Linked DNA regions of Ovis aries. The protein of the gene in region 1 purifies or fractionates together with the protein of each later gene. This does not show direct contact. Links are inferred from orthologs where the notes say so. Each region holds a gene or a part of one and is shown on either strand. Other genes may lie near its edges.

Region 1 (3,603 bases):
TTTCTGTATGTCAGTGTCGTCAGACCGCCGCTTTGGGCTCCTTTTCTTGTGTTTGCTGAGTGTTATGATCTTGTTTCAGGCTGTTACTGTCATGGTTGCCACCAGAGAAGGATCCATCCGCTATTGGCCAAGCCTTGCGAGTGAAGATACCTACACAGAGACGTTCGTAGATCTGGGAGGTGATAAGACCTATAGTTTCCTAACAGCAGTACAGGTATACGATGGATATTCTTCTATATTTATTGGGAAACTGTCATTTGGCTTGGAATTCAGGTTTGGCTGACTAAAAATTTGTGATTTCGAGCAGATCATACAGGTAGGGCTGGGAGAAGATCAAAAAGGAGGCAAGGAAAGAATGTAAGAGTCTAGGATTTGAGCACTTAGGCCGAGGGAAGCCCTTCTCGTGGGACTCTGACCTGTCAGTGGAGCATAGTAGCCAGTGGTATTCGTTTCTGTCAGAAACATCTTTAGAGAGTGATTCAGAAACTCTTAGAGGAAGACTGGTTTGCTAATGCATATTCTGCTGGTTTACCAAAGAAATAAAATCTGATTCTTAATTTGTTGAACCTATGTAATGTGAACCTATAACTTAAAAATCAGAATTTAAAAAAAGTAATTAAAAAAATGGCTCTGAAGTTTTTCTGTGTAGTATTAAGTGAATGGATTCATAAATTATTTTTTAAAAATAGCACTGTTCTTTTTTTATTCTTTAGATTTATGTTGAGGTACAGATAATTTCCCTCGAAGCATATCAAAGTGATTTGTGTTCATTTTCTTTTCTTAGTCTTAAATACTTAACTAATTTCACATTTGTTCACAGGGAGGAAGTTTTATTTTATCCTCATCGGGGGGCCAACTAATCCGCCTGATACCTGAAAGTATAGGAAAAATCCATCAGCATGTCCTGCCTCAAGGACAAGGCGTGCTCTCAGGAATTGGTCGGAAGGTTTCTTCTCTTCTGGGAATCTTATCTCCTAGTAGTGATCTCATTGTAAGTTGGTGAAATGACTGTTTTACTAGCTTGTTTCTTAATGAAATCAGTAAGTTGGCAGTCTCCTATGAAGTTAGCGTTGCCACTGTATGTACAGTGGTGTATGTGAGATGAAAACTTTGATCTTTCAGTGAGGCATTTTTATTATGATGATTAGATGAGTTCATACTAACCCTCTTGCATCCTCTGTAACATTAATTATTCTTAAGTTTTATAGATTATCTGGTAAGCTCATTTTTTGAGTTAAAACTATGATGTAAAGTTATAAATGTGTTCAAGGATTAGTTTTGCTTTCTAGACGTAACCAAAAGTGTGCTTTCCACCCCCGAGCCTCCAGCTGTCTGTGTGGATGATGTCTGCTGGGCTGTGGCTCAGACTCTGGAGTAGTGAGTGAAGATGCTGGGAACTAACATCTTCAACTAACTGCACTAACAGAGCAGTGGGGCATCTGCTCTGCCAGGAGCCCTGTGTGTGTTATCTCCTGTAATAATTGTGATCCGTAATATATAGAGCTTCATGTCCCATTTGTGTTAAATAAATGGGGAAATGGCCTCAGTGAGGCTACCAAAATTGCCCAAAGTTCAAAACTGCTCAGCGACAGATGCATGCCCACATGTGTGTGAACTGAGAGCACCTTCCCCCGCCCCCGACTTTTCTGAAACATTTTATTTTATAGGCGTATAGCTGAGTAGCAATGCTGTGGCAGTTTCAGGTGGACAGTAAAGGGGCTCAGCCATACATACACGGGTAGCCATCCTCCCCCAGACTCCCCGTGCACCCAGGCTGCCATGTAACACTGAGCAGAGCTCCCTGTGCCATGCAGCAGGTCCCTTTGCATTAGCCCTGCTAAGTACTGCAGTACCACATCCTTTATGAAGTGGGGCTCTTCCCTCTGATTTCAGGTTGCTGTCATTATCTGCTTCCTTAAATGGTCTTTGAACGTAAGCTTTAACATGTCTAGAAGAAAATTGCTCGTGTTCTCTTCTCTCCTATTGACTTACAAAACTCATTTTTCTTTTGACCTATTTCTAATGGCACTGTCACCTTTTTCAGAGACCCAGGTATAAAATCCTGGTTGTGTGTGTATGTGTGTCTCCCTCTCTTTATGGGGCAGAATATTTACCAGCTTCTCTAGATTTGAGACATAGTGACAGGAAAAGTGGAGACAAATAGGGTTTTAGTTCAGCAGTCACATATACGCAATTTTTAAGTTGGGTTAGATGTGTTCTTCAGAAGCAAGGGAGATGAAGTGATATAAACGTGTGGAACTACACACACCCCTCCAGATTCCTTCTCCTGTAACAAATCTCTTGTGCTCACAAGCTATGGATATTATCTCCTTAGCTTACTTGGTTTACAAACTGACATTCAAGACTATGCTGTGTGTGAGCTTCAGTTTTGCTTCTTTCCTAGCTATAATCCACATTCTAGTTTAGCAGGACTGTGTTTTGTTCTTTAAAGAGCCTCTGACTTTCCTGCCTCCCTACTCTGCTCTTCCTGGGCCTTCTGCCTGTGAAAATCCTCCTTACTCTCAAGGTCTATTTCAGGATCACTTCTTCCCCTGAATCCTAAATGAAGAATTCTGCTAGGATTACTAATCAAATAGCTATAAAATATATGAATTTTTAATTTCAGGAAAATCATCACTGACACTAGAATTTAATAATCTATAAACTTTTTTTCTCCTCTCCATACAGCTTTCAAGCGTCCTCTGGGATAGAGAGCGAGCGAGCTTTTATAGCCTGACAAGTTCAAACATCAGTAAATGGGAATTAGATGATTCTTCAGAAAAACAAGCACATAGTTGGGATATAAATAGAGTCCTGAAGGAAAACATTATTGATGCTATCTGGGTAAGGAACAGTAACATTCATCTCTGTCATTTTTATTTATATAAAATTGCTAGTTCTTTTAGTAGAACGCATTTCAGTCATCAGATAAGCAGAGTATTCAATCTTTAGAAGTATTGGGACTCACTGGTTTACTTAATTTTTTAAATGCATACATTATTCATTCAATAAGTTTGACTTACTGTGGATGAGGCAGTTTAGTAGGTGCTGGGGATATAAAGGTGAAAAGAAATGATTTCTATACTGAAGGAGCTTACATTGTTGATATTTTCATGTAGGGATCTGAAAGTAACTATGAAGCTATTAAAGAAGGGGTCAACATTCGGTATTTGGATTTGAAGCAAAACTGGTAAGCAACTCATTTGTCATGCAGAGCATAGGTAGTTGTTTGGAAAAACAGATTGGTGTTTGTTATAGAATAATAAGCACCCTTGCTGTCTGTTCTGATGTGTCTAACCCTAATCTTATATTATTCCGCCTTATTGAATCGCTTTGTTCTGTCTGGCAGTGCTAATTCGTTTCAGAAGTGTTGGCAGTTTTCGGCCTTCCACTGAGTGTCCCATTAGCTGTCTGCCCTTGTTAGGGATCATCTGTTCTGCTCGAATAGCTGGAGCTCCTGAGAGCTGCCTGCCCTGCTGCTGGTTGTGTTCCATGCTGTCGTCTCTGCTGACTCAGTGGAGGTTCTGGGGGCTCTTCTCCAGTCCTTTTTTTGTTGCTGAAGGAGCTTTGGCCTGAGTTTGTGGCTGTGTTGAATAAAGGAAG
Region 2 (4,393 bases), on another chromosome or scaffold:
GCTATTCTTTGGAACTCTGCATTCAGAGGCTTATATCTTTCCTTTTTTCCTTTGCTTTTCGTTTCTCTTCTTTCCACAGGTATTCGTAAGGCATCCTCAGACAGCCATTTTGCTTTTTTGCATTTCTTTTCCATGGGGATGGTCTTGAGTCCCGTCTTCTGTACAATGTCACGAACCTCTGTCCATAGTTCATCAGGCACTCTATCAGATCTAGTCCCTTAAATCTATTTCTCATTTCCACTGTATAATCATAAGGGATTTGATTTAGGTCATACCTGAGTGGTCTAGTGGTTTTCTCCACTTTCTTCAATTTAAGTCTGAATTTGGCAATAAGGAGTTCATGATCTGAGCCACAGTCAGCTCCCGGTCTTGTTTTTGCTGACTGTATAGAGGTTCTCCATCTTTGGCTGCAAAGAATATAATCAATCTGATTTCGGTATTGACCATCTGGTGATGTCCATGTGTAGAGTCTTGTCTTGTGTTATTGGAAGAGGGTGTTTGCTATGACCAGTGCATTCTCTTAGCAAAACTCTATTAGCCTTTGCCCTGCTTCATTCCATACTCCAAGGCCAAATTTGCCTGTTACTCCAGGTGTTTCTTGACTTCCTACTTTTGCATTCCAGTCCCCTATAATAAAAAGGACATCTTTTGCAGGTGTTAGTTCTAAAAGGTCTTGTAGGTCTTCATAGAACCATTCAACTTCAGCTTCTTCAGCGTTACTGGTTGGGGCATAGGCTTGGATTACTGTGATATTGAATGGTTTGCCTTGGAAACGAACAGAGATCATTCTGTCGTTTTTGAGATTGCATCCAAGTACTGCATTTCGGACTCTTTCGTTGACCATGATGGCTATTCCATTTCTTCTAACGGATTCCTGCCCATAGTAGTAGATATAATGGTCATCTGAGTTAAATTCACCCATTCCAGATGGGTGAATACCAGAATACATTACAGTTCATTATACAAAAATACTCGTATACAGTCTCTCGGAAAAATTCCAACACAAAAGGACACTCTGCCCTTCACTGCCCCCGCCCCCATCACCCACCATCCCATCCCCAAGGCTCGCTTAAGGGTGGGTGAATAAAAGGAGACAGAGCGGAGATGCACTGACAGATACCACGACTCAGGGAGAGATGACCGCAAGCTCGAAACCCAGTAGAGGGCGCCCGTCTGCCGGGCCTCCCGGGACCTCGCCCCTCCCGGCAGGCTGAGACCTGCGTCCCGCGCGGCGTTTTTAAAATGGAAACAAACCCGGCCACGCCCCCTGCCCCGAGGCCGCCGGGAAATATGGCGCCGCCGCTTGGGGCGTCCTAGCCGGCCACGCAAAGGTTTCCTCAGGTGGAGTCCGCAGGCTTCCCCTAGCCCTTTCTCCCTCGGCTCCCTCCCTGCGCACCTGATCTCCAGCTAACTCGATGGACACCTCAACGCAGGATCCGGCCGCCCCCGACCTCTCCGGACTTCTCCACCTGCCCGCCTGCCCCGCCCTCCGGAAGTGACGACACTCGCCCGGCCCTGCTGGTGTCCCGTCGGGCCTCGCGGCGGCGCGGGAAGATGGCGGCGGCGGGAGCCGTGGAACGGAGCTTCGTGGAGCTCGTCGGCGCTGAGCGCGAAAGGCCCAGGCACTTTCGGGAGTTCACCGTCTGCGGCATTGGTACGGCAGCATCCCAGCAGAGCGCGATCCGAACCTTCCCCTCGGGCCTCCCCTGTGGATTTCTCCATCCCAACCCCCGCCCCCCCGTTACCCTTCTGAGCCCACATGCCTGTTAGCACAGGAATCAGAGCTACCTTAGTGTCCTGCTGCCTCCTCTTCCCTCCCCTTTCATTCTGTATGGACTGTCAGTCCGTCCTCCTCTGCTTTCTCAGCGACCTCGGTCCGTGTCATGCCCAGAGAACCACGTGTGCAGGCTGACCACTCACCTTTTACAGGAACTGCAAATGCAGCGGCCGGAGCCGTGAAATGCAGTGAGAGCGCGGGAGGCTTCTACTATGTGGAAAGTGGCAAGTTGTTCTCCGTCACCAGAAACAGATTCATTCATTGGTGAGTGCTGTGTTTGGCAAGCCCTCTGGAAGGTCGGGTCGTTCGGCGGCTGAATTTTCCTGTCTGGCCCTGAGATGTCATTCATTTTCCGAGTGGTTGTAGACAGGAAAAGAAAAAAAGACTGCTTTCTATTTCTGTCTTAATCAGTGGAGAATTAAGGACACCCAGAGTTCTGGAAGAGTTACCCTATCAGGCAACACTAAAAGCAGAAGAAATGTAGCATAGGGGCTAAAGCCCCAAAGACCAGTTTTTAAACATGAGCCCGTTATGTATTTGTAGTGCTTTACATTCATCCTATGTGTTTGAGCCTTTACTTGTCAGGCACTGCTAGGTGTCCTGGGGACAAAATGACTAACAAAAACAATCACCGTTTTCATCATGCAAGGTGTGGCAGTGTAAGAGACGTGGACCTACCTTTCATGGGGCAGTTTTGAGAAGAAAAAAGGCATCAAGCTAATGTTCATGCATAGGTATATCAATACAGATTTTTCATTCTTGCCTCAGAGGAGAAGAATAGGGTTTTGAGAGGCTAATGGGAAGACCAAGTGTTATTGGTGGGGCTGGAGAGGCCTAAAGTAAGTCACATTTAACCTGAGATTGGAAGGGTGAAAGGTTAGCCAAGCAAGGTGTTGTGGGAGAGAGCATTTGAGCAAGTGGGATCACTGTCTCCAAAATCCATGAGGTGAAAAGAATTTGACAGGTTTGAGGAACTGACTAAAGATCTATGCGGCTTAACTGCAAATGGCAAAATGGAAAAGGACGTGAGCGATGCTGAGACTAGTAGCTAGGGTGGACTCATCATGAAGGACCTCAGGCTGTGCTTGGTCTCTGCTCTGGTGCATGGGCTTCTCATTACGGCAGCTTCTCGTTGCAGAGCACAGGCTCTAGAGCGTGGCCTTAGCTACTGCATAGCATATGGAGTCTTCCTAGGCCAGGGATCGAGCTGATGTCCCGAGACTTGGCAAGCAGATTCTTAACCACTAGACTACCAGGGAAGCCCCAAGATATGTGAATTTTATCCTGAGTATGTTGAGCAGTCACTGAAAGTCTATAAGCATGATCAAAATCACATTTTAAAATAATCATTCTGCTTTGTGTAAAATAGATTTGGGATGGATGGGTAAAATACAAAAGAACAGTTTGCTTTTATGATGGACCAAGTAAGACATTGAAAGGTTGTTAAATCACACAAAGATGCTGGGATTCTTGGCCCCCGGAGGAGAAGAATTCAATCCAGGGCCAGAGACGAGGTTTGATCGCTCAGAGCTTTTGTGTAATAAAGTTTTATTATAGTATAAAGGAGATAGAGAATGCTTCTGACATAGGCATCAGAAGGGTTCAGAAAGAGTACCCCCCTGTTAGTCTTCAGCTGAATGTTATATAACCCACTCCAGTACTCTTGCCTGGAAAATCCCATGGACGGAGGAGCCTGGTGGGCTGCAGTCCATGGGGTCGCTAGGAGTCGGACACGACTGAACGACTTCACTTTCACTTTTCACTTTCATGCATTGGAGAAGGAAATGGCAACCCACTCCAGTGTTCTTGCCTGGAGAATCCCAGGACGGGGGAGCCTGGTGAGCTGCCGTCTATGGGGTCACACAGAGTTGGACACGACTGAAGCGACTTAGCAGCAGCAGCAGCATTCTGTTAATGAAAGAAAGGAATGTCTTGAAACTCAGAATGGCACCAGGCCCCTCACCCATAAGATGCATTTTGGGATAATCTTGGCACCAAATGGTTCATCCTGGGCCATAAAATGATTAACTTGAATCTTGAAGAAGGGCAGATCACCATACAAATAGTTTCATTTACATAGATTAGAGGAACAGTATCTGAGTATAACATACTGGTTTGTCAAGGAGGTTCTGAGCCAAGAGGTGGAACCAACTTGAAGATAGAGTTTGGGGTAGATGCATAGTATGTTAACATAGCTTAAGATAAACATTTCCATAAGAAAAAGGCATTGGTTGTCTCTAGGTTTGAGAATAGTTAACTTCAGGTGAAACCAGGTGTCATTATGGCAACACAGTATTTTAAGGGAAACCTCCTTTTAAATGTGTATAGAGAAGGAAAAAATATCGATAGTTTGTTTCCTCCTGCTTCCTTCTGCCGCTTAAGAGAGATAAAAATGTCTGACACTTGCAGGCTATTTCCTCCGTTTGGAGACCGCTGGCCTTCATGCCTGTTACCCTCTCAACATGTTGGTGACTCAGCTGTGGGAGTAGCTAGAAAAACAGAGATAGATGGATTCGAGATACACTTAGAGGGTAGCTTCATTAGGACCAGGTGATAGACTGACAATGGGATAAAGGATGGTAAGGGAAAAGGAGGGAGCAAGGACAAGTTCCCGTC

What was found. The genes of interacting proteins can lie anywhere in the genome.
Region 2: the proteins of NUP133 (region 1) and NUP160 purify together in Homo sapiens (co-immunoprecipitation; 4 studies listed by BioGRID and IntAct, with this or other methods). This does not show direct contact. The link is inferred for Ovis aries from reciprocal best matches to the Homo sapiens genes NUP133 and NUP160.

Annotation. Positions count from the first base shown.
Region 1 is NC_056078.1:1,013,866-1,017,468, reverse strand, and holds part of NUP133 (nuclear pore complex protein Nup133), read left to right. Parts: intron 1-79; coding exon 80-214; intron 215-820; coding exon 821-991; intron 992-2,688; coding exon 2,689-2,844; intron 2,845-3,119; coding exon 3,120-3,190; intron 3,191-3,603. UniProt on the Homo sapiens protein: Involved in poly(A)+ RNA transport. Involved in nephrogenesis.
Region 2 is NC_056068.1:76,491,417-76,495,809, reverse strand, and holds the start of NUP160 (nuclear pore complex protein Nup160), read left to right. Parts: upstream 1-1,540; 5' UTR 1,541-1,554; coding exon 1,555-1,654; intron 1,655-1,929; coding exon 1,930-2,041; intron 2,042-4,393. UniProt on the Homo sapiens protein: Functions as a component of the nuclear pore complex (NPC). Involved in poly(A)+ RNA transport.